Rattus norvegicus: one gene and its partners. The protein of the gene in region 1 interacts with the protein of each later gene in a pairwise test. Links are inferred from orthologs where the notes say so. Each region holds a gene or a part of one and is shown in the gene's direction. Other genes may lie near its edges.

Region 1 (10,578 bases):
GGCTCAATCTTGTATAAGTAGCCATGCTGTGACTTCATGACATACTTCCCAGCACTCCTCCCCACCCTCCACCTCTTACATTCTTTCGGAGCTTTGGTTGGGGGAATGAATTAATACAGGTGTTCCACAAAGGGCTGAGCACTCACACTGTCCCCACTCCTGGTACCAACTTCTTTCTTGGTTAGGGTTTCCATTGCTGTAAAGAGACACCATGACCAAGGCAACTCTTTTTTTTGTTTGTTTGTTTTTTGTTTTTTGTTTTGTTTTTTTCTTTTTTTTGGAGCTGGGGACCGAACCCAGGGCCTTGCGCTTGCTAGGCAAGCACTCTACCACTGAGCTAAATCCCCAACCCCGACCAAGGCAACTCTTATAAAGGGCAATATTTAATTGGGGCTGGCTTACAGGTTCAGAGGTTCAGTCCACTATCATCAAGGCAGGAAGTGTGTCAGTGCCCAACCAGGGATGGCACTGGAGAAGCTGAGCGTTCTACATTTTGTTCCAAAGGCAAACAGGAAAAGACTGACTAGGAGGAGGGTCTCAAACCCCACCCCCACAGTGACATACTTCCTTCAAAAAGGTCACACCTACTTCAATAAGACCACACTTCCTCATAGTGCTACTCCCTGAGCCAAGCATAATCAAACCACCACATTCCACTCCCTGGCATAGACTTGTTCACACATATGAGTCTATAGGGGCCATACTTAGCCATAGCATAATAAAAAATACATTTAGTTCAACTTCCAAAGTCCTCATAGTCTATAAGTCTCAACAATGTTAAAAGTTCAAAGTCGGGGTTGGGGATTTAGATCAGTGGTAGAGCACTTGCCTAGCAAGCGCAAGGCCCTGGGTTCAGTCCCCAGCTCCGAAAAAAAGAATAAAAAAAAAAAAATTTCAAAGTCTCTTCTGAGATTCATCAAAAGCAGAACCATGCCTCCAACATTCCAGGATCTATATTACTGTTCCAAAATACCATAGCAGCAAGGAAATACTGGACCAAAGTAAGACTGAAAACCAATTGGGTAAACTCCAAACTCCACATCTCCAGGTCCAATGTCAAAGAACTCAGAAGAAGAAGAAGAAAAAAAAAGAACTGCTCAGATCTCCAACTCCTTTCATGCTTGTTGACTGTTGTTGGCAGATCTGGCACTCAGCAGCAACAAGCTTCATTCTCTTGGGTTGGTTCCACTCCCAGTTAGCAGCAGGTATCCTATGTCTCCAACATCTCTAACATCTTGGAGTATCCACGACAACTTCAATTTTAAAGCTTCTTGCTCCAATATCTGGGATCCACACATGATCTGGGCTCCTCCAAAGGGCCTAGGTCATTTCTCTGGCTCTGTCCTCTGTAGCATTCTAGGTTACGGTTGACTCCACTCCACTCTTGCTGTTCTTGGTGATCATCCCATGGTACTGGCATTTACCACATGCTGGGGTCTTCCAAGGCAACGAGGCATCACCAATAGCCTCTTATAGGCTCTCTTCATAATGCCAGGCCTCAGCTTCTTTGCAGGGCTCCTTCAATCTTGGGCTGTCAACTGCAACCGAGGGTGCATCTTGCACTGACAACCACTCACTGTAAAAACCAGGTTCTCTGACCGAGGCTGAGATCAGCCCAAGTCCATGGGTACCAACATAGAACAGTGGAGGACAATCTGAGCATGCTCATTCAGTAAAATAAGAAGGGCTGGCTCCACCCCAGGGCCTCTGGCCTCCTGGCAAGACATGGTCTTTTCACCAGAATTGCAGTACCAGGCATCTGTTCCCACCAGAGAGCTGCTATTTAGCCTGCTATTGCGCCTGTAGCAGAGGTTGCCTGGCACATTGGTATTATAGCATGAAGGGACCCCCTGGGTCCCTACCCTTCCCACCAAGTAGGGTCACTGATGTCTGCCACACAGCACCTTCTGAAAGCTAGCTAGCAGAGAGGGGCACCCTGTTCTGAACAGAGTCTGCTCAGTGTGGTTTTGTTGTCTGTTTGGGCCTTAGGGAATAAAGTAGCCTTGGCTGCCTGCCTATATTATATATTCTGATCTCCCCACCTCCGATTTTCAAGTGCTGGGACTGCAAGCAGGCTGTGCCACCCCTGATTGGTCAGCACCCTTTGTCTTCAATTTGCTCCTCCCTTAGAGATGCTTTTGAGTGAACATCTACTTCTTGAATAATCTTCTTAGCTTGTTTTTTTCTTTAAAGATTTATTTATTATATATAAGCACACTGTCGCTGTCTTCAGACACACCAGAAGAGGGCATCAGATCTCACTACAGATGGTTGTGAGCCACCATGTGGTTCCTGGGATTTAAACTCAGGACCTCTGGAAGAGCAGTCAGTGCTCTTAACTGCTAGGCCATCTCTCCAGCCCCAAGCTTGTCCTTTAATGGCAGGATCTCACTCTAATCCAGGATGCCCTGGAACTCTCTCTGTAGCTGAGGCTGGCCTTGGAGCAATCCTTCTTCCTCAGGCTCCCAAATACTGGGATAGCAGGCATGAACCACTAGGCCCAGGTTTTATATAATCTTTCTATTAAAAAAAAAAACAAAAGAAAAACAAACAAACAAAACGCTTTTTTTTTTTTTTTTTTTTTTGGAGCTGGGCCTTGCGCTTCCTAGGTAAGCGCTCTACCACTGAGCTAAATCCCCAGCCCCAACAAAACGCTTTAAGTCCGAGATGGGATCCACAATTTTAAACTTACCCTTCCCAAGTTGCTGAGTCATCAGAAGTTCCCTAGACCCCCAAGTCCAGGGAGTTGACAGCTGTATGGCTCTTTGGTACACAGCCATTTCTTAATGGAAAGGAGTATTTGTGCCCTTCAGCTCTCAGAGTTACAAATGTCAAAGACAGCCCTTCCGTCCTCCCGTCCTCCCCCTCCACCGCCTTCCCATTGTCTGGCGGTAGAGCCTGCCTGTCCTGCAGTTGGTGTCCTCCTAGATGAGGGGCTGCTGATAATCAGGGTCAGGCCGATCGATCGATCGCCAGGGTCAGCGCTGAAAGCCGCTTAAAAACCTCTTCCCGCCCCGCCCCCACGAGGCAGGCTGCCTTTGATCATCCGCCTTTGCGCCCTCTAAGCAAAGGGGCTTTCCCTGAGAAAACAACTCTATAAATACACCGCTAGGTTGGGACTGTGTGTCCGCAGCGGTCCCTGGAGAAGCCACACCTCCAGAGAGGAGCATTAACCCATTGCTTTCATTGCTTTTCCAGGCTCTTCCGAGGCACAGACGCTGGAACCGAGGAGGATCAAGGAGAGACCCCAGTGGAGGCGCTTGTCCTAAGGGAATTGGGAGGATTTGCTGAAAAGCCAAAAAAAAAAAAAAAAAAAAAAAAAAAAAAAAAAAAAGGCATGTTAAATGTCAAATAAAGTTAACATTCTGAACTATCCCAATACTCAGACTCAGGCTGAAGCAAGAGAAGTTGAAATTTGGGATCAGTTTGGGCTACACAGCAAGTTTCCTGTCAACTTGCCCTACAGTCACAGGACCTTGCTAAATAACAAACAATACCTTTCTTCCTGGTTCCGTGCAGTGCTGGGAACGGAACCCAGAGCACCCTGCATGCAAAGCTTCAGCATGAATCGCACCGCGGGCCAGAGGATGGTTTATATACACACACCCATTGTCTGAGATAGACTCCGCTCCCACAGTTAACACCTTAACTCCAAAGTGGCCATTTCCACTGGCAGGATCTCTTCAAACTAGACTTGGAGCCTTAAGAATTTAAACAAAGTACAAGATATATCCAAGAAACCTTAGTCTGGTGCACCAGGGGCCTCTTGTTTTACGGGTTGCAAGACAATGTTGCCAGAACTTGTGTGTTGAGTGTTTGGACATTGGTGGTGAGCCTGGCCTTCAGTGGCTGAGCTCTCTCTCAACCCTTGCTCGGGTACTTCATTGTTGTTGAAACCGAGATGATCTCACTTTGTAGCCCAGCTTGCCCTAGAACTTGCTGGGTTTCCCAGGCTGCCCTTGAACTTGCAGTAGTCCTCCTCTCCTGCCTCAGCCTCCCAAGTGCTAAGATTATAAAACGTGCAATACTATGCCCTATATGTTCTCCCCACTTCCCCCTGCCCCAGCCTTGGCTGGAATTCACCCTGTAGACCAGGTTGGACAGGCGTGGCACAGGCAGGCCTTTAATCCCAACACTGCAGAAAGCAATGGCTGGCGGATCTCCGTGAGTGGAAGGCCAGCCTGTTCTACACAGTTCAAGTCAGACAGAGCTACTGAGACCCTGCCTCAAAGAAAAACAAACAATCTTAAAAAAAAAAAAAGACGTATAAATAGAATGTGAATAGAATAAAAACCGAAAGCCGATTTCATCCCTTCTCCACCCCTCCTCAGTCATTCTTCCACAGGGAGATGGATAAACATCTAGCACACACATCAGATTCTCCCATTCTACAGACGACACTGCCGCACTGACGTCGAAGCGCTCATGAAAGACCACAGAGCTGGCATGTGCTCAAGCTGAAATTCAAATCCAAATTTGTCTGACTCATAATGCAGCGTGCATTCCTTCCGCTAAGCTCCAGGGTGTAAAATTTTATGGATGAAGAAACCGAGGCTCACAGACGTCCTGGGCCATCAGAGCCACATGGTTCACTGCCCAGTATGGGAAAAGCGGAGGCGATGGCATTGGCTGCGTGGAGGAGAGAGCCTTGGCTTGGGCGGATCTGAGCTTGCGCAGGACCACAAGGGTCCAGTTTGCAAATCCCCTTGCTCCGGGTCCGCTGCTAGCTCAGGTTCTTCGAGGACAGGCTCCACCCAAAGGCTGCCCTTCCAGAGTCGGTGGGGTCCCGAGCCCCCGGGTGGGCGCGGGAATGGTGCCTGCAGTGTGACTGCATGATCTTTAGCTGTCCCGGGCGCCCGGGATGGGTGGTTGAGGCCAGCGCGTGGCGGGCGGGGCACGGGTGGCGTGGGGTGGAGCCTGCCGCGGGCGGCGCTGTCCCGGGGCTCCGGGCCGCGGTGGCCACCGGAGGCAGCTGGAGAGAGCGGGCGCAGAGAAGGTAGAGCCTCCCTGACCCCCGCCTGGGCTCTGACTGTCTTAGAACAGTAGACCCTGAGGCGAATTCCTGGGGAGGGGGTCTGGTCTCTGGGACTCCAGGTCCCATCACCCGGGCGAGGGCTTGCGCCAAGATTCCTATTAAGTCACATAGTGAAGTTGGAAAACATAACCGGGACCTCCCTACGCGCTGGCGCAGCCGGCTCTTCCCTGAGGGGCTTCGGGAGGATGCGCCCCGACGCCTGCACTCTGGGATCGCAGGGATAGTGTGTCCAGGAGGGATGCGGGTGAGTGAGCTTTGCACAGCTCAGCCTGTTGTGAGAGGTTGAGGGAAAGGACACCTGTTGGGATGGTTTGCAGGGTGGTGGTGGTGGAGATCCCGTGAAAACCCAGGCCTTCTGACAGGACAACATCTTTCCTCTGCTAGCCCAGCCCTTACTAACTCCATACTCCTCCCCCAACCCCGCATTGGCTCATTCCCCCCCCCCCCCAGGTGAACCTGGGGTGAAAAGGTTAGCTCCCTTCAGGTCACTTCCCTTGGTGTCACTGGCCCAGAGGGGGTGTGACCAGGAGCAACATAGGTTTGTATTCAGCCTAGGTCCACCCTGCTCATCTCCAACCTCAGGGTCCACCCTGCCCATCTCCGACCTCTGTCTTTCTCACCCTGGGCATGAAAACGGGACAACCAGCATACATTTGTGCTGGGAGGGGGTGTCAGCTCTTGCCCCCCTAGGCGGGGGAGGGTGGGGTGGACTTTTCCAGAGAGGGAGCCAGGCCTGGCCCCAGCCCCAGGAGCTCTCGTCCCCCCCCCCCCCCCTCACTTCTCCAGAGAGCTGCCAAAACCAGCTCAGGACAGGATTATGTGTACTGGGTAGACCACGGAGAGGCAGCAGGGACAGACCTGGGGGAGAAGAGAGGAGCAGAGGGAGGTGGAGAGGGGACCCGCATCGGACAAGAGACAGGTTGTGTTCATCACCCCTTTTTTTCCTTCCGTCCAGCCTCCCAAGGCAGGCATAGGGCTGATGGGTGGGTCTCTTCCATCAGGGAAGTGGTGGACTCTGTGGCTGCCCAGCTAGGGGAAGAAGGAGAGGAGTGCATTTTACCTCCTCCACAGCCCCAAGAACTCAGCTCAGCCAATTGGATCCCCTCCTCAAATTCTCATGTCCTGGGGTCCCAGGGAGGGGGAGTGGAACCTAGCTGTGCCTCCTCTCTGACCTTTGCATGCCCTGAGCTGGCCTACTTTGGCCAGCAATCCTTGGATTCTTCTCATGGTGCCATTCAGATCCAGCAGAAACAGTGTTTTTCCTGGAAAGCAGAACTAAGATGGGGTGAGGGCTGTGAGTAGGCAGGGCCTCAGCGAGAAGGAAGGGGCTGGGGCTGGGGGTAGGGAGAGACATGGTTTGAGGACAGGTATAGAAGCCCCCCACTACCCAGTGTTTACAGCTAGACTTAAGGGTGGACTTTCCAGGTATACCTGAAGGAGAGCCTCAGACGCATGGGCTGCTATGAAGGCTGCATCTCTCCTTAGGTGCCCCAGCCATTTTGGCTGAGCATTGTAAGAGAAAAAAAAAAAAAGCAGAAAACTAGTACATGAGCTAAGTCACCCTGAGCCAATGCCTTGTGGATGCTGGCACCCATTGGGAGAATAAGTCACTGCCTCTTCTCAAGAGATGAAGCTATTAGCACTTAGTTTATCCCTTGGACAAAAAAAAAAAAAAAAAAAAAAAAAAAGCTGTATGACACTGTTCCTCCATAAGGAGCTTAGTTAAAAGGGGAAGAAAAGAAAGACTGGGGCGGGTAAGAGAGTAAGAGAGTAAGAGGGGTAAGAAACAAATGCTCTTGGGTTTTGTTAGGGGGAGGAGGTTGATTTTCAATTTTTTTAGCTAGAGGTCCCATGTCACTCAGGTTTGCCTTGAACTCCTGCTCCTCCTACTCCCCCCTCCCAAGTGTGGGATTATGGCTTGTGCCCCTACCCCTGGTACTAAGAGGCCTCTGGCTGGCCCCTCATGGGTGCCTGGCATAGCCTGTCTCCTCTAGGACCTGGAGTATTAGGAGAAAGAACCTCTAGGTCCAAGCTGCCTGCACACAGGCCCTCTTCCGGCTTCCAGAGGAGATAAGTCCATCTTGGGCCACAGGGAGGAGACTCAACTGAACTGAGAGGCTGAGGTCAGACCCCCACCCTCTCCTCAGCAGATGACAAAGACAAAGATCCTTTGCTTCCACCCTTAGGTCCTAAAGGGGTGGACCACTCCTCCCCCACCCCTCCAGACTGTGGGTGTTGTGCTGAGACAGCCCTTCAGTCCCCCAGATATCTGCAGGGGTAACACCATGCTCCTCCCTCCTCAGAGCACCCTCCATCCCTGATGCCAGAGTAGCTACCCTGTCCCTTCTCCCCAGCCCAGGGGCAGTCACAGGAAGAGCATGGAGCTTTGGCTGGGCAGGTAAGAAACGGGTAGCAGTGAGAGGAACGGCTCTATCTCTGATACTTAGGGCAGGGAAGGAGCTGGGGGTAGTGGTGCACACCTGTAATCCAAGCAGAGGCAGGTGGCTGCCTGTGAGTTTGAGGCCAGCACTGTCTACAGAACAGAGTTCCGGGACATTCAGAACTGTTACACAGAGAAACACTGTTTCAAAACACACACACACACACACACACACACACACACACACACACCCGGGTGGGGGTGGGGAGGGCTCAAGCAAGCTCAGGGACCGGATTGCTGGAAGGGGTCTGGCGAGTGACAAGGGACTCCTGCTTGCTGAGGAGCTGGCCACCAGGCTGTGGAGAGCCTGGGAGGGGGCAGGCAATGTCGTAAGGCCTGGCTCCCTCTGATGTCCACCACCCCCTCCTTGTGCAGGCTCTGGCTGTATGTCATGCTGCTCTTGCTTCTCCTTCAGCTCTGCCAGGATCAGGAGGTGAGCCCAGGACAAGTGAGCCACTGCTACCCTGCCCAGGGTCCCTCCACTGTACCCCGGCCTCCCCTTGGGGGTGGCTTCACATTCCCACAGGGAGACTTCAGCCCCTAGTATCAGGTTTGGCCCACCCAGTCTCCCTGCTGATTCCCTCTCTTTTAGTCAAATACCACAAAAAAGGCTGGAGTTTGACCCTACCTGTAAATGTGACCTTGGACAACTAATAACCCTTGAACCTTGAGACACTAATTCTGACCTTTTCCCCTCTCTAGCTGTTGGGTCCTTCTCTTCAGACACCATCAGAGGAGGACCAGGTCCCTGAGGGTCTCTGGGGACCTTGGGGCCGATGGGCCTCCTGCTCCCAGCCCTGTGGGGTGGGGGTGCAGCGCCGGAGCCGAACATGTGAACTGCACCCAGCCCTGTCCCTCCCTCCCCGACCCCCAAGACATCCAGAAGCCCCCCAGCCCCGGGGCCAGGGTTCCAGACCCCAGACTCCACGGGATCCCCAGTCCCTGTATAGGCCACAGCCTCGGGGAAGGGGTGGCCCTCTTCGAGGTCCTGCTTCTCAAGTGGGGAGAGAGGAGACCCAGGAGCCTCGGGGGGCCCAGAGGTGAGGCTCTGAGGGCAGAGCAGAATGGGGGTTAACAGAAAGGTGTAGGGGACTCCAGCGCTGCAGGCCAGTCTTTCAGGAAGCAGACCGGGGAAACAGGCGAAGAGGTGACTAAGTCTACACATCCTCCCAGGTTCCGTGTTCGAGACCCTATCAAGCCAGGGATGTTCGGTTACGGGCGAGTGCCCTTTGCTTTGCCCCTGCACCGGAGCCGCAGGCTTGCTCACAAACCTGGACAGCCCAAGGACTCCTCTACAGCGGAAGAGACACTTCCATCCCAGCCTCCAAGCACAGAACCAGCCTCTGAAAAGCACAGCCCCCACATGCAGCCCCCTGAACTGCGTGCCCAATCCCGTTCCCCCTCAGCTGAAACTCCAAGGTCTGGAACTGCTCAGACAGAAGTGCCCTCCAGAACCAGTTCTGCTCCCTCCGACATGGGTATCCCTGCACCCACTTCCTCCTTTAGAGACAGTAGGTCTTTCCAGGGATCCCCTGAGCCACGAATGCCAACTTCCCAGGGAGCAGAGCGACAGCCACATCCTTTCTCTCCTGTCACCCGGAGCCAGCTGAGCCGGAGGCACTGGAGACCTCCGGGGAGTCCTCACAGGTCCCCAGATGGCTGGCTGCCTCTGACAAGGGACTCCAGCCCACACTGGAGCCTCTTTGCTCCCAGTAGCCCCACTCCAGAATGTTCTGGGGAAAGTGAACAGATGAGAGCCTGCAGCCAAGAGGTGAGCTGTTCTCCAGGTTTTGCACCCTAGACTTTCACTGTTCCCTGACCCGAGTCCTCATCTTGATAGACTTGGACTCCAGGGTGGTGGTTCTGACTTCAGGGCAGACGCCTTGGTGTTCTATGGAGTTGACCAACCAGTTCCCAAGCCTCGTTGGCCATGGCCCACACCCCAGGTTTCCTCTGCAGCTCTGACTCCTGTATATCTGCCTTCTCAGCCTTGCCCCCCTGAGCAGCCAGACCCCAGGGCCCTGCAGTGTGCCGCCTTTGACTCCCAGGAATTCATGGGCCAGCTGTACCAGTGGGAGCCCTTCACCGAAGGTGCAGTTTCTAGTTCCCCTGGCAGGGCGACTCAGGTTTGGGTGGCCCCTCTCTCCCTCCTGGGTGTCCTACTTTGCAGGTCACCCCAGAGGCTTAGCCCAGACCTAGAGAAGGGAGCTGTTTTCTGGGAAGCGATGGGTGGATGGTCAGGACAGGCAGCAGGCTGGCGGAGGGAGCTGGCTAAAAGATGCTGTGATCTGGCAGGGCATGAGTGAGACCTGTTCACTGGTCCCAGCAGGACACTATCTTCTGTTACTCCCAAGTTACTGTCCACTTGGACTTGTGGCTATGTCAACTCCACACTGACAAACCTTCATGAGCTATGAGCCTATGATCGTAGGTGTCGGAGACCCTTTTGAGGAGTGGTAGGATGGCTCAGTGGGTAGAGGGGCTTGCCTCAAGCCTGACGGATGACCCGAGTTTGGTCTCCAGAACCCATGGTAGGAGGAGAGAACCCACTCCTGCAAGGTGACCTCCTTCTCTCACGTGAGCACCCCAATCCTATACACACCTAAAACAAAACCACAAGAATCTTTTCTTGATGGCCAGGTGCAAAACTTTCCCTTTTTAGGAGAATGAAATGGGAGACTTAGTCAAATCGTAAACTCGAGACTACACAGCATAACAAAGATATAAGCCATAAAACCCTAAGCGTGGGAAACTCCCCCTCCCTCCTTCCACACCAACTTCAGGAAGCCTCACACATGATAAAAGGTAGAATGGCTGTCAGGGCTCTGGGGTGCTTCTTCCCGGAGGGACCCCCAGCTAATTAATCTATATCTTGTCCTTTAGTTCAAGGCTCCCAGCGCTGTGAACTGAACTGCCGCCCCCGTGGCTTCCGATTTTATGTCCGTCACACTGAAAAGGTGCAGGATGGGACCCTGTGTCAGCCTGGATCCCTAGACATTTGTGTGGCTGGACACTGCCTGGTAAGGGAGGGCAGGGTGTTGGTGAGGGAGGGCAGGGTGTTGGTGAGGGAGGGCAGGGTGTTGGTGAGGGAGGGCAGGTTTGT
Region 2 (10,029 bases), on another chromosome or scaffold:
CCTAATGAAGAAATAATTCCATGTGAATTTTATCCTTCTGCAGGCCTGCTGAGAAGGTGTTACTGCCTTTTACCTAGATCACTAGATGAACACTAGCTGCAGGGTATTCCAGACAGACACCTGCCTGTCTTCTCTCCTGCCTTCCTAACTTTTGGGGACTGGGAAACCACAGAGTTCCAACCCTACAAAGGTTTTGTTTGTTTTTATTCTTAAAAGTTGTTATAAAAATTCAAATTCCAGTGTTGGAGAGCTGGCTCAGTATTTGCTCTTAGAGAGGAGAGTGGTTTCATTCCCAACACCCGCATGGTGACTCATAATGGTTCCATGGCATTGGAACATGGGATCCAGCACCCTCTTCTGGCCGCTGTGGGTATTGCACACAATGCTGCACAGATCTCTAGGTAGATAAAGCACTATATGTAGATATCTGTAAAAATTACAAAAATCAATTTCCCACCAGACAGAGAGAGCCTTCCCCTGCTAGACTGCTCTGTTTATTTTTCGGGTCCAGATAAAGTTCACACATATGTTTTAAATCTGCTTTTATGACAGGAACTCAGTGGTTCTTCTAAAGGCGCACGGCAAACACAGGACATGGCACCACCGTCTACCTACATTTTCTAAAATTAGTGAGAAAAGTGGATCTGATTCCACCTTTCTTATTGTGACAGTGGTTTTTTTTGTTTTTTTTTTTTGTTTTTTTTTTTTGTTTTGGTCTGGAAAGGTTCTTTTCTGCATGGGGTGCGACTGTGAAAGAGATGCCTTTATTATTATTAATCTGCTAGGAAAAATCTGACTCAGTTTAATGTTTAAAAATACAACTATTTTCTGGGCTCTTTTCCTCTCTCTCCTGCCCCTGCTCTCGTCCCCTGACACACAGTGCCAGCCATTCTCCTCGAAGCAATCCCAGCCACCACACACCATATCGACTCCCAGCTTCAGATTGCCCAAGAACAGGCATTTCGCTACACGGCCATTATTGAGAAGGTAACAAACAACCCGCTCATGGCCAAAGAACTTCAGCCGTACATGTTAAAGGAAGCGCTGTATAATGTTCGACAGTACGAGATCTTCCTGCAGACTGTCCTGGTGAGCTAATGTGGCAAAATCTGGCATTTTCTGTATCATGCAGTCGCCCCTGAGAACAAAGTGACTCACAGAGGAGGAAGTCCGCATTGCCTTGGCGTGACCAGGGCTTAAAAACAGAAACAGCAAAGTTAGGTTTGATCTCAGTGGAACGGTGCTGGGAGAAGCCAATTTACGGTTGTCGATTCTCTTTAATACTTGTTGGTATGATTGGTAACATGCTACAAGCCGTGATGTGTGTGTGCATTTGTAACACTTGTTACTTGAGAGCGTGTGCTTTGCACTGTTGGCAGGGAGCTGGCACAGACAGGGTCATTGTCACTTGGAAGCTGGGAGCAGGCAGGGTTTAACGCATGGTATCAATGGTAAAACTATAAAATGTGAATGCAAGTCGTGCTGTCGTCACAGTCAGATATAATCACCTGTGCTGAGGAAGTGGAGCTGATGACAAAACAATTGGCAGCTCAGCTGGAGCAGCTGAAAATGACAGTAAAATCCAAGACGGCGGTCCCAACGTCACAAGTCTTCGTGAGTACCCAACGGCATCCCCTTCTACCTGGTGTTTGTGGCCCAGGCTCTCAGCGTGTCGCCCTAACTGGCTGGAGCTTGCTCCGAAAGACCAGGTTGGCTTCAGATCACAAAGATCCCCTTACCTCTGTTCCCAAGTGCTGGGAGGGAGGGACGAGGAAAGGAGGGCCGGAGGGAGGTGTGCCCCACCCAGTGACTTGGACTCTTTAAGATGCGTTTTATTTTATTGTGGTGAAGGGGCATGCCACACGGCTCATGTGGAGGCCAGAGAGCAACATTCAGGACTTGGTTCTGTACTTTGTTAGTGGGATCCTGGGATCAAGCCCGGGCTGTCAGGCTTGTGAGAATTTTTACGCACTAATAATCCAAAGCGTTTCTCATCTGGGATCAAACCCAGCTGTGCCCCAGCTGGACCAATGCTCACTGCTGAGCCAACTCCCTGGCATGCGGTTGGTTTGCTCTGTTGTTTTGAGCCAGTACCTCACTTTATAGCTGGGTACTGTAGCTACCCCAAGCTGTCCTGCAATGTGGATCTTCGTGTGCCCACATCCTGGGTGCTGGAATGCAGGCATGTGCCACCAGGTCCGGTGCAGTTTCTTAAGGCTGGACCTCCTTTTGAGTCCTATAAAGTGAATGGAATTCCTTATAACTGTATCCACTAGAATGGTATTATGTAACACCCACCATTCCTTGTATACAAACTGGCCCTGCTCTTCATGATCAAGTCTCAGTAACAGCCTGCTTGTTAGTCTGATGAAGGAAATCATAATCTCTAGTGACGAGGACCATAGTACCTGTGGCCACAGAAGCAGTCCATTATAGTGTTGAAAGTGTGCTTACAGAACTGAAGAAGATGGTAATGGCCTTCCACACAGTCACACAAGCACCTGAGTTTAGGTTCCCAGCAACCATATCAAAACCAGATGCCGTGCTGTGTAGACAGAGCCAGAAGGATTTCCGGCTCTTATATTGGCCAATCAGTGAGCTCTGGGTTCAGTGAGAGATTCTGACTTAAGAAATAGGCTAAAGAGTGAATACGATCTCACACACCATGGGTTGGGGGAGAGAGAGATGGCGCAGGGAGGAGAGAGGCAGCAGGCAGGGAGACAGATGGGGATGGAGAAAGAGAGGAAGAGAATATGTTCACAGTACTGTCCGAAATGGAGTCTAGCACGGGTGTGATACAGTGTAGGAAGAAACCCTCTATTTACCACGCAGTGACTTTCTGATCAACAGTACTGTTTTATAGAAAAACGTTGCAACCCTAATCTGAACAAGGTAGTTGTAAAATGCACATGCATTTTGCATGTATGTAGAGCACTTGAAACCATGGTAACTTTCTGCGGGTGTTCTCAATGTTTGTTTTATAAAGTAAGACCCTTTTATGTGAGGCCTGGTTGATTTTCTGTTTAGTCTACAAATGTTAATTTCTATTATGAGTAAGATATTTATGTCACTGACCTAAAGATTTAGCTTCGGCTCCCTTGACATACCAGAAAATGTGCTGTGTGCTTTCCAGGTTCTTTCGATCCATGATAGGGCCAGGGAAATCTACTACAGTGAGTTTTTTAGTTTTTGAACAAAAATTTCCAAGTGTATTTTCTTTCTTGACCTTTTGAGGTAAAGTAATAAATACTATTTCTTAGGAGATCAAATGTGTTTGGCTACTTCTTGAGTAAATTAACTTAATAACAGTTATGCCAAATGAAATACTTGGAAAGAAAACACTGGTTTTCCTTCTTCTGACTTGCGAGTCTTTGCTAGTTTGACAAGGCCTGGATGTGTAGAGGAGCGAGTGGCTTTTAAGGGCCCAGCGATGGCTCTGTCACACAGTCACTTTGTCTGTGTACTCTCCTGCTAGCCCATCTTCATTGCGCTGGCCAGCCTGTGGACGAGCTTCCAGGATGAGACGGTTCTTATCAGCGTCCTCAGCAACCTGACCACCAACCTGGAGCTCTTCCTGGGCACCCATGACCTCCTCTTTCCCGAGAAAGTGATGCAAGGCCTTCTCGATGGCGTCATCGTGAAAACCGATATGACTCGGATAGAGGAGCACTTAGGTAAGGCACCCTAGCCATTGCCTCCTTCACTTTTAAGTTCCCATTCCCTTAAAGTCACTCTTGTTAGTTTCAAATAGTCACGTTCTAGCTTTCTGATAAAATACTAAACATCTTAATTGTGAAAGACTCATATTCATTCTAGAAAGTATGGGGGAAAATGCAAGACATTGTAACGCACACCTTGAGTTTCCAGGGTGTAGATGGTGGAGGCAGGAAGGCCAGCCTAGGCTACACAGTAAGTTCAAGGCCAGCCTGAGCTATAGAAGTCCCTGTTTAAAAAAAGGGTGGTGGAGCGTGAAAAATATAGATAGTGGAAACTGAGTTTCTTACTTTCCAGAAATTAATTCTTATTGAGGTCCCTTACGTCCCCATCTTGTGTGTCTGTGTATTTATGTCGCAGGGGGGCTGGTTTTGTAATTGATGTACTGAGAAACAGTCTTGCTACTTTCATTGCAGATAAAGCTCCATTTTAAAGAATGATACTTGCAACACATCTTCTTAGTGTCAAGTTGAAATTTGTGAACTAATTTAGCTAATCTTAAGCCCCTTAAAGATACATCGATAACCCACCCGCCTTGAGACAAGGTTTCTCTGGGTAGAGGTGACTGTCCTGAAACTCACTCTGTAGACCAGCCTGGCCTCAAGCTCACAGAGATCTGCCTGCTGCCGCCTCCTGAGAGTGCTGGATTGTGCCACCACCGCCTGCTGACGTATTGATTCTTCCAGAAAGGTTGACATAATCAGTCAACTTTTAATCATTTTATCAGCTTTTTACTTTTTGTATATTAATTACAGACAACCTAAACTTCGCAAGAAATATTAACGCAGAGCTTAAAACTTAACACTCAAACTTCTTCCAGAAAAATGAAGTTAGAAGTTTACTAATTTCTTTTTCAGATTCTATTTTGGTAAAAAAACGAACCAACAAAACCCAACAAACAAACAAAACCCTCCCAAAACAAAAAAAACTAGAAAATAAAAATGTAACAGTGAATTTGTTTCTTAAATTATTAGAATCTATAAAAACTGAAAGCTAACTAGGATACCCCATATCCACTCAGTGTAAGTTTTTACCACTTATTTAACTTCATCAAAACAGTGAGTCATGTCCTAGCAGATATGACAGGAAATTGAAAAGTTGGAGTAAGTTCATTAGTGACTGTTCAGCCCAGCCTCAACTTCTTAGATTTAGAGCCGTCTTTCCTACCAGAGTCAGAACTTTCTCTTCATTAGAATATTTCATCAGCTTATTCTCTCTCGAACTCGGAGAGCCATATTCTTTTGAAAGAATTTACACCTGCTTATTCAGGCTGTTGGAAGTTTGGGTCTAGCACCAGGAATATTAAAAATGTGTGTGTGTGTGTGTGTGTGTGTGTGTGTGTGTGTGTGTGTGTGTGTGTGTGTGTGATTATAAAAGTTAAGAATGTTGGGAAACAATTTTTATGAATGTATGATTCGTATCTAATTTATTCCTTTTAGTTGTCAATGTACGTAAAGCAACTGGTATGAGGAAGTGTCCTTAAAGGTCCAAGGAACGGCTGGAAAGATGCTCCACGGTTAAGAGCATTTCCTGCTTCCTAAGAGGACCCCAGTGTCACAGGCTGCAGCTGCAGCACCAGGGGAATCCGACACCTTCCTCTGGCTCTGGAGCACCAGACACGCATGCAGTGCACACACACACATATGTAGCTACTCACACACACATAACATAAGCACAGCTATTTAAGAAAGAAGCCTAAAGAAAAATTTATACGTTTTAATCAAAATTAAGCTAGTAAAAGACATCTTCCTATTTGGAAGTCTTTACAGCTTTGAGATACAGTCTAGTTATGTAGTGCTGTCTTCAAAGTGTTCTCCATGTAGCGTTGTATCAAGACTTGGGCCATCCTAAATGAAGGAGATACTCTTGGTCACAGAACAGGTCTTTCTGCTCATCTCCTTGGGTCATTTACTGTGTGGCAGCAGGACCATTACGTACCCTGACAGAAGTGTTCTGGTCTGCCTTTCCCTAACCTGCAGAACAGGCTTTTCTGAAAGGTCTCTCAGGGTTCAGTCCGGAGCAAAGTTCTGTTTCTACCTTTGCTTCAGCAAGTTGCTGGCTTGGGTAGTCACTGAGGCCTTCACCCTCCTTTACATGAATATCACCCCCAATGAGTGGTTTTGTGTACACCAGGGGAGACTTTGCCAATTTGAAAGAAGTTAATGTTTAGAATGACGTGCTGCTGACTTATTTCAGAAATTGCACCTTCTCAATGGATGAAAACCATTTCCTGTTCTTTCATTTCAGAAGAAAAAGTGCAGTTGGCAGATTTCAGAGTACTGGAGTGGCTTTTTCCGGAGACAACAGCCAATTTTAACAAACTGTTAATTCAGTACCGTGGATTTTGCGGTTACACGTTTGCTGTAACTGATGGCCTTCTCCTCCCAGGTATGTTGTTAAAGAGTCTGCACTCCCTGCCTGTTCTGTACGAGTGCCTGCTTATACGCACTGTGTCAGCCTCGAACATTGTGTGGACTCGGACGGTGAACCAGGGAGGAGATGCCGAGATGACCTGGCGCCGTCCTCACCTGAAGGTGCTTCAAGGACAGTATGATAGCCTGAACAAGAGACTGTAAGGAATGAGGGCCGGGAGGTGTAACAGGTTGCCCGTCCCTGATCTAAAATGTTTCAGGCCAGAAATGTTTCTAATTGTGGGTTTGGGAGAGAATGGGATTATTAAGGGATACGACCCAAGTTTAAACAGAAATCTGTTGATGTTTCATAGACGTTTTCTGTTTAGCATACTAAGAGTACACTATGTTTAGCGCACCACATTTCTACTGTGACTTATCACATGAAACTTCTGTTTGTGGGGTCGTGAAGGAACCCAAACTGCTTCTGATTTTGGAGCATTTCACATTTCACAATAGGGACACTCAGCCATCATTATACAACATGGACTCTATAATGCCTTGAGACGGGGATGATTCTCCTGTACGGAGGGAGCCCAGAAGCATGGTGTAGCCGTGCTAAAGACAGAGCCTTTGAGAGAGTTACCAAAAAAGACTTATTTAACTAATGTGTTCACTTAAAAAGCGTTCGTGATCACTCCACAGCTACCCTTCACTAACACAGGCTAGGACTTCTCTGTTAAGTTCTAAGGAAATATCTTATTAAGTAACATTTCTCTGTGGCATCTACATTATACATAACAACATTAAATTTATAAAATGAAAAGTAAATTAGATATTGGGAGGCAATAGATTATTATTCAAAAGTTCTGTGTGCAGTGGGAATGGCAAACCCATGGGGGCTAAGTCATAGTTAGTCCTAGCTGTCAGCAAGACATCCATGGGAAGAGGAAACCTCCATTCAAAAATTGCCACCACCAGGTTGACCTCTAGACATGTCTTGGAGGCCTTTTATTGAGGGATAAGTAATGTAAGAGGGCCAAGCCACCCTTGGACAGTGTCATCACCAGGCTGTAAGAAAGGTAGCTTCCACCAGCTGTATTAGTATGACACAGGAATGTAGCGGGTTAGCACATGGTACATGTACAGAGTTAGTATGTGAAAGGCTCTGGGTCGTACTGTTAGCCATATGTCTATATGTATGTATGTATGTGCACATATGTCCATGGACATGTTGGTCCTATGGCTTATCACAAACACAACATTGCTTGGTTCATGACTAATTAAATTATCGTTCTTAATTTTCACAGGAAATCCAACGATTGGTATTTTGAAATATAAAGAAAAATATTATACTTTCAACAGCAGAGATGCCGCATATTCATTTGCAGAAAATCCAGACCATTACATTAATTTGATCAAAGAGAAAGCCAAGAAGAATGCAGAGTTAATTCAGCTACTAGAGCTTCATCAGCAGTTTGAAACTCTCATACCGTATTCTCAGGTAAACATGGGAACCCTTGAAAACACCTGGGTTTGTAATTCCTGTAATTAAAGTGGCATCTCGGTATTGCTCACTGTGTAGTTTTTCCCTGACAGTGAAGTTCAGTGAGTGCAGAAGCAAGAGTAGGCTATCCAGTCTTCCCCCTCACTTTTGACCTGACAGTTTGAGACTGTGGCTCTTTGAGCCAGAAGGTCACTGTCTCCTTGAGGCTTCCTGGCCACTAAGCTCCGCCATTCTCTGTCCCCAGCAAGTGTTGGGATTCTGGCATGTATGGCCATGCCTAGCTTTTATTAGGGGCTGGGAGTTTGAACTCTGGTCTACTTGTTCTCACCCGCTTGGTACCTTTTAAGGGTGCAAGAAGGAGATCATTTTCTCTGCCAAGTAAAGGATTGAAAGGAAAAAGTGTCACGAGAAATCTTGGGGAGCCCCAGCAAAGACATCATAAGATACGCAGGAATCAAGGTCTCCTTGTGAGGCTCTTGGCTTCATTAATAAAAGGATTGAAGCTAAACATGATGGCACATCCCTTTAATCCTGGCACTCAGGAGGCAGATCAAGGAGGATTTCTGTGAGTTCGAAGCCACCCTAATTTACCTATCGAGTTCTAGACTAATCAGGCTATGGCACCAACTTCAACAAACAAGAAAAAAAAACCCAAGCCCAAACACAATATACATAGACATAAAGATATACATATGGATGAAGGGAGCTGAGAAGATGGCTTCGTGGTTAAGTGCACTCTCTGCTCTTTCAGAGGGCTTGGCTTTGGTTCCCAGCACCCAGTTCCAGGGGACTTAGTACCCTCTTCTGGCTTCTGTGGGCACCAGGTATACGTGCACATACATACATGCAGGCAAAACCAAACAAATCAAGCTCTCTTGGCTGGTGAGATAGCTCACCAGGTTAAGGCTTCTGCCACCACACCTGAAAAATCTGAGTTCAATCCCTCAAAACTACGTAAGTGAAGAAGAGAACTGACTTCTGCAAGCTGTCCTCAGACCTCCGTGTGTGCATGGGATCTACACGTGTGCACACATACAATAAATAGGTGTATACATTTTTAAAAGGAAAGAAAAAAGTCAAATGGAAACTCAGGGCCATTTATTTGTGCTTAAAGGGAAAAATCAGGGCAGGCTAACTGTAAACCTCATAGCTGCCTAAAGGAATAGAAAAGATAGTCCTCAAAGTCTGCCTTGTAAGCATGAGGTTCAGGCCAGTGTCAGAGAGAAAGGAAGGAAGGATGGAGGGAGGGAAAGAAGGAGGGAGGCAGGGAGGCAGGGAGGAAGGGAGGGAGGGAGGGAGGGAGGAAGGGAAGAAGGGAAGAAGGGAGGAAGGAACGTACATTACACTTGTCTGAGTAAAGGCAGGCAGGGCCCCCTGAACCTCATGCTTGCCCATGGACTACACTGGGGGCAGGGGTTCTGGGAAGGTGCGTGATCTTAAGGTGAACCCACCTTCCTAAGGGACCTGTTGTGTTCCGAGGCCTTGTTTCTTTGAGGTTCTCCATCCCCTCTGGCTCTTGAAATCTTCCTGCCTTCTCTTCCATTGGGTTTCCTGAGGACTGTGGAGAGGAGTTTGATGGAGACATACAATTGAGGACTGAGTGTTCTAAGGGCTCTCACTCTGCATATTGTACCTCTGTGGTCTCTGTTCCCATCTACCGCAGGTGGAAGCTTCTCTGATGAGGCTGAAGAAGACACTGGGCTATGAGTACAACAGAAGGTCACTAGGAGTCATTTTATTGCTATGTCCCTTTAGCACTGTGGTTCTCTGGGGACCAAGATTCCTTTGAGAGAGACGTATCTATCAGATATCATGTGTATCCCACATACTTACATTATAATTCATAACAGCAGCATCGTAGTTATGAAGTAGCAATGAAATACTTTTATGGTTAGGGGTCATCACAACATGGGGAAGTGTTTTAAAGGGTCACAGGATTAGGAAGGCTGAGAACCACTGCTCTAGCAGACAGTAATGTTTTTCTCCTGGGCTCCTGGTTTATCTAGTATCAAGTTCCTGGCCACCTGAGCAGTGTTGGGCTTGGTTTCCACCTCATGAAGAGGGCCCTAAATCAAATCAGATATTGTTTGGTTGCTCCCACAGCTTTGTGCCTCTGTTGCACTAGTCCATCTTGCAGGCAGGTCAACACTGTAGATTGAAGGGTTTTTAACCGGTTTATGTTTCTTTGGTACTGTGTAGAGTACTTTTCAGTACCACAAATACTAGTCAGTAGAGGTGAAGGTTCCGTGTGGGCACCAGCTGGAGCTTTCCATGTTCAATGAGCTGTGTAGATGTTATCTGAGGGCACGCACACATGTGCGAACTTGCGCTCGAGCACACACACACACACACACACACACACACACACACACACACACACACATTCAAATGGCCTTAATTTTAGCTGTCTCTGTCTCTCCCATATTCTCACATTCACCTCTCATTCTCACCTCTCCC
Region 3 (10,029 bases), on another chromosome or scaffold:
TTGCATAGAGCTGAGGAAGCTGAGACTCCAGGCTCTTGACCTTAGGCTGGGCTCCGGTATCCTGTGCCTGTCCAGTGCGTGTGTGTGTGTGTGTGTGTGTGTGTGTGTGTGTGTGTGTGTGTGTGTGTGTGAGAGGGCACAGGTACACAGTGCCGTTCATCATCCTGGCCCCTGCAGGTAGCCATCGACTTCACAGCCTCCAATGGTGACCCAAGGAACAGCTGCTCCCTCCACCACATCAACCCTTACCAGCCCAACGAGTACCTGAGGGCGCTGGTGGCCGTGGGCGAGGTCTGCCAGGATTATGACAGGTGTGGCCCCACCCATCTCTCTGGGCCAAGTTGGGCTTGGGGGCTCTTCTGAAGTGGTGCCAGGCAGTGTGATTGACCCCTGAGGTCAGCACAAACGAAGGGGGAGCATCTTTGCAGCTAACATAGTAGACGTGAAGCTCAACTGACCTTTGGTACAGATCCTCCAGGGGATGGATGGGGGATGGGTTATGTCTCTAACAGGGCCCCATACCCCTTCACTGGGACACAAACCTGGGCGTTGGTTGGAAATCATCTTGTAGGGCAGAAAAATGCAGACCTTGACGTTGGGGTGATTGGCTAGGATGGGGCTGAGGGCAAACACGGATGGTCTGGTCTCTGAGCTCAACACAACGGCCCAGATCCCCATCCTGAGCTCCCTGCCCATGGAACTCCCTCTTTCAATGGGAGAAGAGAAAGTATAGTGGGGTTAAGTAGGTGCCTTTCAGGTGCTACAACCTCAGGTCAGGGTCCTTAGAGGGAGGGAAGAACAGGGAGCAGCTCCCAGTCTTCTGGTGTCAATTCTACCGTTTCCTGCCTGTGCTGTGGACAGTCTCTGCTCAGTTCCTTAGTTTCCCCTCTGTGGCCTGCCTGTAATCCCTGCTTCTGACCCAGCAAGGCCCAGGCCTTCTAGTCTCCCTCCAGTGTCTACTTCACTCACCGGGGGGCCGGGTTCCTGGAGCTGTCACTTTTGTCTCTTTTCCAGTGACAAGCGATTTTCTGCTTTGGGATTTGGAGCCCGGATACCTCCAAAGTATGAGGTAGGAGAGCCCTGGGCTGGGACCCCATCCTTCTACCCTCTGCAACCCAGGAAGAACCCTAGTTGCCACCGTTCCCTTTTGAGATGGGGGTGGAGGGAGGGGCGACCCTGGCTGTGGCCAGAGACTGACTGTTGGCCCCTTAGAGGGTGGAGCTTTAGGCACGGTGCTTGTTCTTACCAGAAAGGGACAATTCAACTTCTTACCTAGATGCTGGTAGGAAAGGGGAATTATTGGTTAGTGTGCCTCGAAGACACAGCTACTATTGAATCCAGGCCCTAACTGCCCCACATTAGTTTGTCCCTCTGTCTGCCTCCTTCTTGGCTTCCTCTCTCCATGGAGGTCTTACCACATGGGCCCCGAGAAGCAACAACCCAGCTTCTTCCCCATAAGTGGGAATCAAGTGTGTCCTGGGAAGGTCCTGTCTGACTCTTGTCCCCGCCAGGTGTCCCATGACTTTGCCATCAACTTCAACCCCGAGGACGATGAGTGTGAAGGTAGGAGCTGGAAGTGGGTTTGGCAACGTGCGACATCGGCCCAGGCTCACCCCTCCGTTCCCTACAGGGATCCAGGGTGTGGTAGAGGCCTACCAGAACTGCCTGCCGAGGGTCCAGCTCTACGGCCCCACCAATGTGGCCCCCATCATCTCTAAGGTGGCACGCATGGCAGCAGCTGAGGAGCGCACAGGGGAGGCTTCTGTAGGTGACTGGGGGCAGGGATTGCATGCACCCGGCTGTAGCACCAGTTAACTGTGTGTGTAGTCGTGGTGAGGACCAGAGAAGCAGTTATCTGGGTAGAGTTGAGGCAGGCAGTGAGGGGTGGGATGAGGGAAGGGTCCAGGATGCCAGCTGGTGGCTCCCTCAAAGCCTCAGGCAGTCTGTTTTTAGTTTAGGCAGAAGACTGAAACACTTCAAAGTCAGCCCTTATTATCTCAGACAGACACTGGTCTGCCTCAGTTTCCCTCCTGTCCCTCTGCACCTCTGCGGGTATCACATACCGGCTTTCTTTTAGGCATCCTCAGGGTGCACATTTCCCTCAGGGCCGTGTTCTGCTCTCTGTAGCCCTCTGTGTGCTGCTGAGACACAGCCAGCCTGCTGCTTTCTCTTAATTTTTCATTTTGAAAAAAAAAAATAATATTGTGCTTACAAGGGACCAGCACATGACTTCTGGCCATCCACCAAGTCGTAATAGCTACCAGCTTGCACCTTTCTTCCTTCCCTTCTCCCTTCCACCTCCCTGGTCCATCTCATCCTCTCCTCCTTCCCACCCCGTCGTCCTGCCTCCATCCCCTTCACGTATGCATGCACTAAGTGTCCTTCTGAACTATTTAAGAGGCTGAAGCTTAATGTCACTTCCTCCCTAAATGTGCATGATGCCCACGCCTGCCGGGTGGGTCTCATGTATATCAATGTCTGGCAGGGCACGGAAGGCAGCTCCTCCTGCTATCTAATCCTACTAGGTCCCTGCTCTTACCTGTCCCCAGATGCCCCCAGGTGTGGTCTGATTTGGACTTTGCTCGTCCCCTTCATCTTGACCCCCACAGACTCTATCATGACCCTTCAGACTCCACCTGGAACCCCCAGACTCTGGTCACGAGTAGTCCTGCTGCCCAACAGCACTCTGAGGGGGAGGAGGGTGTAGAGGAGGCAGCAAGCTGGTCTTCTGTCAGGAACGTTACACACACGGGCAGTGGAGCCCCCTTCAGGGTGGCAGTGGAGACCTCTCCATGCTGGCTCTCAGGATCCCTCTGTGCTCCAGGAAGGAGTGGCTCCAACAGATATCATCCTGAGTTCTAGGCAATGCTGTCCACAGTGGACAGATTTGGTAAACCTAGCCAGTGTGTCTTCTGATGAATGTACCCCCCCTTTTTTCCACAATAACTTTTTGTTTTCCTTGGGGAAAAAAAACTTTTCTTAAGAGTTGAGGTCTCCTGTTCTCCAAAAGTCAGGAAATTGCCAAGAGGAGCTGCTGAGGTGCCTGCCAGGCAAATCTGTGACCCTGAGCTTGATTCCCAGAATCCACACACAGAGAAGGGAGCAAGGCAGAAGGGTTGGGCCCCTGACCTCCATGTGGGCGTGTGTGCATCACAGGCATCGATAGTCTTTCTTTTTTAACTTTAAAAATAAGATGATTCCCAGAGATCCACACTCTTGATCGACAAATGCCTACTACGTGTCTCTTGTTCCTGGATTAAACTTTTTTTTTTTTTTTTGGTTCTTTTTTTGGAGCTGGGGACCGAACCCAGGGCCTTGCGCTTCCTAGGCAAGCGCTCTACCACTGAGCTAAATCCCCAACCCCTGGATTAAACATTTTCATTTCTTCACCTTGAGTTAATTTCAGACTTAGAGGAAAAGTTCCAACAGCATGGCCAAGAGTTCTGTCATATTCTTTTCTAGGGTCACTTTGTGTCCTGAGGTTTTATTTTGCTTCTGTTTTGAAAAAGTTTGATTTAATCAAACTATTTTTGTTGTGATAAAACACACACTATTGAAAATTTATGATTATAACCACCTTCAAATGCCCCAGCTAGGAGGTTTGAGGATATTCGTGAATTTTGCAGATTTTGAATTTCAGCTTTTCACAAGGAAACTGCATACCTGCTCACTTATGTGTTTTGACTAAACGGGGGTATTGTACTCTTGAGAATGAGAATGGACTTCTGTTTGAAACACTTCCCACTATGTCATTCCTGAAGCATGGACCGGGGCGCCATGGTGTCAGGGTGTTAGGCCGTGTCCATCCAGTAGTCCTCCTCCTTGGATATGAGACCTGGGTTCAAGCCTTGAGAGGTGGTCTTGTCTGTAAAGTGGATTCTGCAGTCCCATGACGGGTGGAGCAGCTTTACTCTACATAGTGGCCAGCAGTAATTTATGACTAGGACTGTCACGAGTATTGCATTGTGCCTGGGCACTGCAGAGGTGCACACAGCAGGGGCCCCTCCAGGGGCGGGGACTGGAGCTGGAGGTGATGTGTGTGGCTTTGAGAGGTCTCAGGGGCCGGCACCCCTGCTTCCTTCTGATGCCCCCAGCAATATTACATACTGCTGATCCTCACGGACGGTGTGGTGACGGATATGTCGGACACTCGAGAGGCCATCGTGCGCGCCTCCCACCTGCCCATGTCTGTCATCATTGTTGGGGTGGGCAACGCCGACTTCACGGATATGCAAATCTTAGATGGGGATGATGGAATCCTACGCTCACCACGGGGCGAGCCTGCACTCCGAGACATCGTTCAGTTTGTGCCCTTCCGTGAGCTCAAGAATGTAAGTGGCTGAAAGGGGGATGGCATTGAGAGCTGGGCCCTGGGGGGCGGTTCCCACTGCTCCATGCATGCATGACTTCCTTGCCCAGGATAAGGCCCTGCACTTTTTATGTCAGGCTAAAGAGTAGGCTCTGGGGATGGCTCCTGGTCAGTCTCCACCCTGATGACTGCCTGTGCAGTGAGCTTATGACCCTAAAATCTATGACACAGAGAAGGCAGTAGGGGTTCTGTGGACCTGGCACACAGCTCCCCATGCCCGCTCTATAGTAAACATGTCACGTGGACTCTCTCCCACATGCACATCGCAGGTCGTCATGAGAGAGCATGAGGGTGAACGTCTGTGCCTGGTGGCCCCTCTTTACCTCCTGTCATTACCTGCTGTGGCTGGGAGAGATGAAAGGACTGTGTTGGCCTCCCCGCACAGACACACTGGGGACAGTGTAGGCACTTCCATCAGCTAACGCTAGGACAGTCTAGGGGCTCGGTGGCTGCATTTCCACCCTGTGTCCTTAGTAGCTCAACTGACTGCCAAGTCACATGTCCCTTAAGTAGATTTGAGTCCCGGGACTGTGACCCAGATAGGGGAATAAGGATGTAGAAGGCCCTCAGATGTAACCATGTGGTCTCTCAACCCAGGCGTCCCCTGCGGCACTGGCCAAGTGTGTGTTGGCCGAGGTGCCAAAGCAGGTGGTTGAGTACTACAGCCACAAGGACCTGCCTCCTCGAAGCCTTGGTGGCCAGACTGGAGAGGCTGGTCCCAGCTCAGCGCCATGAGGATGTCAGGGGAGGGGGCTTTGAAGAGTATGTCCCAATCTACAGCATCTCCTGTGCCCCCAGAGACCCCTCACTCAGAAGCTCATCACTCAGCCCAGGCCCCAGCCTTGCTCCCGTGTTCGGCTGGCCTGGGCCAGTGGCCCGTTTTCCCAACATAAAGAGATCTAGGCCTTGTGGAGTGACAGAAATCATTAGCTCTCCCATGTCTGGGCCTCCCTGTATGCAACAGGCATAGAGCAGGGTATTCTGAAAGAGCTGGAGCTACAGAAATGCTCTTCCCCTCTTGCTTGAGCTCACCTCTCTGTCACGTCGGGTGTCAATCACACTGCCTGGCACCACTTCAGAAGAGCCCCCAAGCCCAACTCGGTCCAGAGAGATGGGTGGGACCACACCTGTCATAATCCCGGCAGCTCAGCTGTGGAAGGGGTGGTTGATTTGGAGAGTTTTGTCATTTGATCTTGTGGAGAGAGGCAGTACCCCAACCCTCGAGGATACCTATTTCTAGGCACTCTGATCCCATCGGTTTCTCTGTCCTATCTGGTACCAGTCCAACCCATGCTCATACCTGAGACCCTGGGGCCTGAAAGGTCTGTGGGAGGCAGCTTTGGGTATAATAAAGCATCCCCTCATTCTCACAGCCTTGTGACTTTCTTGCTTCAGGGGATCTGGCATGAACGTCCCTAGAATCAGGCTCACCAGGTCACCCACACCAGTCAGGGCTGTGGCCTGGCTGGGCTTTAGGTATTCCCCTCGGCTGATGTGTCAGGAAGGGAAAAGCAGCCCTAAGTGACTTTGGCTTGTACCCAGGACTCACCATGTGCCACAAGCTGTCGGCTGAGGGCAGCTTCCACCTGTCTGAGTGGGGGTGGATTTTTTTTAATTGAGATTTCCTCTCAATTATCTTGTCTGAGAAAAACAAATTGTCCCAATCCTGAATCAGACCCACCCACCTATCAATCTATCTATCTATCCACTCCGGAGCTATTTTTAGCTACTGATTCATCTCCTGTTAAGCCCGGATAATAGGCATCACCATGGTAACCTGGCTACGATTCCGGAAGGGCCGGTGGATGTTGGTCTCTTTGGGGACAGAGAGGACACCAGAGAAATGTACCTTCCATGGATATATGGGAAAGGAGACACCAGCAGGGTGGGAGATTGGAGCCCCAGGGTGTCAGCCAGGTCTGATCCAGTCCGCACAGTACCTGACAGTTCTTAGATTTGCCTGGGTTCTTCTCTGGTGAAGCCAAGGAGCCTAGGATCCCAGCAGCAGGCGGAAGAGAACGGGGAAAGGTTTATGCATGTAGAGGAGTCAGTGTGGGGGGCTTGGGAGAGCCACTGGCCGGAGGGGTGAGAAGGGACAGCCCTTCCAAGAGATCACAAAGCAAGGAGAAGGTGAGTTTCTTTCAGCCCTTGAGGAACCTGGTCCAGGAGCATGCCCTAGACTCTCGCCTCACAAAGAAATCAAGGCTCAGGTTAGTGGAGGGACCAGCCTGGGGTACCTCTGATGGGGTAGAGCTAGTACAGCTTTGATTGTCCAAGTTCCTGTTCCCGCCCCCTTTGCTGCCTTACAGCGTGTGCCATATAATCTTGGAGTCCAGCGGGACTTGTGCGAATCAAGCCCAACAGTGCGGATGGAATGGGTTCCCTGATATTCGGGGAATCTTCCAACTTAACTTGGGGAGCCTCGCTCTTGAGCATAGAGCATGGGAGTGACCCCAGGGCCTTGGGTAAAGAATTTCCAAGTTGGCTGAACTCTGGGGGGTCCTAGAGAGGCCAAGAGCCCCACAGCCTACCCTGCTGGGGCTTGTAGGTTGGAGGCGCTGGCTAGCCAGCCTAACCAGCTCTAGCTTTTAACACCTGTGGGCTTTTAACAGCTTTTGGCCTGAGACGGGGCCTCTCTGTCTGAGGGGGGTTTGATCCTTGTTCCTTGTCTGCCACAGACTAGCACGCCTGCTTAACAGGGCTTTGAATGTACCATTGAGAGGCAGGCTTACATTCTCTCGTTTTGAACCTGGGTGGACTTGGGGTCCAATGTCACTTCTACAGCTGGGTCATTAAAATACCGAGTGCTAAGTGGTCCCAGAATTCAGAAAGTGAAGGGGTCAGATTTCTGTAAGTTCAAGGCCAGCCAATATAGAATTACATAGTAAATTCTAGGCTAGCTTCAGGCTCCATAATGAGACCCTGGTTAAAAAAACAAAACAAAAAAAATGTTGGGGGATGGTGGTACACACCATTGATTCTAGTACTCAGGAGGTAGAGGTAGGCAGATCTCTGAGTTCAAGGCCAACCTGGTCCAGGGATTGAGTTCCAGGACAGCCAGGGCTACACAGAGAAACTCTGTCCTGAAAATCAAAAACAAAAAACCCCAAAAACCCTACGAATACCACATACTGACATGCTCAGTTGAAATATCAGCCTCCAGGGGCCACCAGGATAAGAGTGGCCCATGGTCACTGTCATGAGAATAAGCTTCCAGCCCCAGCCGACTTCCATCCTGCCGTAAACACATAGCTAAATGGATAAGTGACCTCAGAGTACCCCTTGTGGTGGCCCTCTCTCATCTAGCTAAGACTCAGCCCTGGCTGATGTCACTGTTAGGAGAGGAGAGACCAGGCAGAGACACAGCTGCCTTATTGGATGGATTGAGAGAATCCATATTTCTTATGCTCCGAGCCCTGCCCTTCAGCCTGACCCGCCGTGCACTCTGACATACAAAGCCTTTGCAGGAGGCTGGATGGGTGGCGTTCAGTCTGATCTGGGGTACCAGTTTCTTAGTCTAAGGGGACAGCCAGCTTCCGAAGGTCCATCCTTTTTGTTCTAAATGTGTTCCCATCTCCCTGTCCCTCCTATAGAGCCCACCGGGCCTCAGGGGCCAAGCTCTCGCTGCCTTGCTGGATTAGTGCCCATCCTGTTCCCGATCCAAGCTAGCTAGGCAGGGATGGAGGGAGTGGGAAGGACTAGCCCCACCAAGGCTGTTCTTTCTCCTGCTGCTGAGAGGAAGTGGGGGCAGGAACCTGTGACTAAGTGCCTGTAATTGGTGTGGGGGCTGAAAAGCTGTCAGACAAGCCCCACGCAGTTCGGCCAATCACACGAGAGCTGTGAGTGAAGCTGTTCCCTTCGCCACCTGCCCCTGGCCTGTCCTTCTGCATGTGGATGCTCCTTACTGGTGGGCAATCGGCTGGCTCTAGGGGTGTGTCCTCCCTGCTCCCTCTCCTCTCTCCTCTCTTCTCCCCTCCTCCCCTCACCAGTTCTAGTGCCTATACACGGTGGAGTGTCCCTCCCTTCCCAGAACTCCCTAAGCATTTGCTTAAACATTGCCCGCAGTGTTGAGCTCTCACAACAGCCCCACGTGATGGCCTATTGTAAGTGTGTGCATTGCACGGAGCGGGAGCTGAACTCAGGGAAATGAAGCCATTTAGCCAAGAATACGCAGTAGAGTCTTGAGCTGGGCCTTCCATGCTTGACTCGCAGGCTATAGAGCCTAGAGCCTTGGTTTATGCATGCATGTGTGTTTAGTCACGCATCTGTGCACACGCAAATACATGCGTGTGTTGTTTTACCACGTCTGAGTGTGCACGTGTGCATTTGGGAAGGGCTGCACTCCTCTTTTGCTTTAACTATTGAAGCCTCTCTCAAAGACTCTCCCAGCCACCCTGGGGATTGGTCTACTCTGTGGGGTTTTAACCCAACAACAGCATCCAGGTTTAGAGAGCTATGTTATTTGCAGGGTCTAGGTGAAGCCTGGATCTCTCTTGAGCAGATATGTCATTGTGCCCAGTTTGCAATAAGCCAGTGCAAGGGAGAGCTATGCCCCTTACCACACACACACACACATGAAAACTCAGGCATTAGTTGGGTGCATGGAGTTTGCCCTCAACCCTAGAAGGCTCCATTTTACAACTATTAAGAATCTCAGCCAGAGGACGTAGGGTAAGAAGCCATCTCTTTGGGGTGCTAGGAGTTACACATCCTTTTAAGCTGACTGGCTATATTTTGTGGGTGGAACTGATGGCCAAGGGTTAATGGACTGAGTCCTCTTAGAGTCACTACATTGAACAGAATATCCCTGAGAAACAGCCCTGGGCTAAAGGCAGTCCCTGTGAGGCAGCAGGGGATCCTCCCTTGCTCTGGGCTCTATCTTGGGGGGCATCTACTTTAGCAGCCAAGGTGAGAGACCTGGGGCCAAATCCTAAGAGACCTCCAGAGCAGCCTCTTCCCAGTGTTCTCTCAGTGGCACAACCCTGACCCTGACCAGGCCTGAGGCCTGAACTTCAGGTGATCCTGGGTGAGATTTCAGGCTGATAGATACCAAGAAGATGTCAGTCATCATGAGTCATTGTGTCAGAGTATCAGAGAAAGAGAGAGAGAGAGAGAGAGAGAGAGAGAGAGAGAGAGAGAGAGAGAGAGAGAGGGGCAGAGAGACACAGAGATGGAAATGCAGAGACAGAGAGACAAGGAAACAGAGACATGAAAGGCAGAGACAGAGATAAATAGAGACAGAGGCAGAGAGACAGAGAAAGACCGAGAGGCACAGAGACAGAGGAAGACAGAGACAGAAAAATAGACAGAGAGACACATACACACACACATGCACACGTGCACACACACACACACACACACACACACAGAGAGAGAGAGAGAGAGAGAGAGAGAGAGAGAGAGAGAGAGATAGATCTTTCTGGTTCACACAGTTTCTTTTTTCCCAAGACTGAATAGTCCAGGTTCTTGGCCCAGAAGGAGAGTCTGGCAGAGGGTAGATGCATCCTTTAAGACTCCATCCCATGGGCTGGAGAGATGGCTCAGTGGTTAAGAGCACCAACTGCTCTTTCAGAGGTCCTGAGTTCAAATCCCAGCAACCACATGGTGGCTCACAACCATCTGTAATGAGATCTAATGTCCTCTTCTGGTGTGTCTGAAGA

The links.
Region 2: the proteins of Adamtsl4 (region 1) and Cfap206 interact in binary tests that used the Homo sapiens proteins (3 or more experiments, as listed by UniProt). The two-hybrid records come from large-scale screens. The link is inferred for Rattus norvegicus from reciprocal best matches to the Homo sapiens genes ADAMTSL4 and CFAP206.
Region 3: the proteins of Adamtsl4 (region 1) and Cpne7 interact in binary tests that used the Homo sapiens proteins (3 or more experiments, as listed by UniProt). The two-hybrid records come from large-scale screens. The link is inferred for Rattus norvegicus from reciprocal best matches to the Homo sapiens genes ADAMTSL4 and CPNE7.

Annotation. Positions count from the first base shown.
Region 1 is NC_086020.1:185,930,182-185,940,759, reverse strand, and holds the start of Adamtsl4 (ADAMTS-like protein 4 precursor), read left to right. Parts: upstream 1-4,963; 5' UTR 4,964-5,279; intron 5,280-5,847; exon of another isoform or gene 5,848-5,954; intron 5,955-6,053; exon of another isoform or gene 6,054-7,158; intron 7,159-7,221; 5' UTR 7,222-7,413; coding exon 7,414-7,433; intron 7,434-7,850; coding exon 7,851-7,908; coding exon of another isoform or gene 7,909-7,923; intron 7,924-8,177; coding exon 8,178-8,515; intron 8,516-8,648; coding exon 8,649-9,246; intron 9,247-9,463; coding exon 9,464-9,566; intron 9,567-10,358; coding exon 10,359-10,495; intron 10,496-10,578. UniProt on the Homo sapiens protein: Positive regulation of apoptosis. May facilitate FBN1 microfibril biogenesis.
Region 2 is NC_086023.1:54,078,025-54,088,053, reverse strand, and holds part of Cfap206 (cilia- and flagella-associated protein 206), read left to right. Parts: intron 1-880; coding exon 881-1,089; intron 1,090-1,494; coding exon 1,495-1,614; intron 1,615-3,475; coding exon 3,476-3,674; intron 3,675-5,961; coding exon 5,962-6,102; intron 6,103-7,375; coding exon 7,376-7,569; intron 7,570-10,029. UniProt on the Homo sapiens protein: Essential for sperm motility and is involved in the regulation of the beating frequency of motile cilia on the epithelial cells of the respiratory tract. Required for the establishment of radial spokes in sperm flagella.
Region 3 is NC_086037.1:68,085,459-68,095,487, forward strand, and holds the end of Cpne7 (copine-7), read left to right. Parts: intron 1-177; coding exon 178-311; intron 312-1,014; coding exon 1,015-1,069; intron 1,070-1,511; coding exon 1,512-1,563; intron 1,564-1,630; coding exon 1,631-1,764; intron 1,765-4,094; coding exon 4,095-4,331; intron 4,332-4,966; coding exon 4,967-5,104; 3' UTR 5,105-5,739; downstream 5,740-10,029. UniProt on the Homo sapiens protein: Calcium-dependent phospholipid-binding protein that may play a role in calcium-mediated intracellular processes.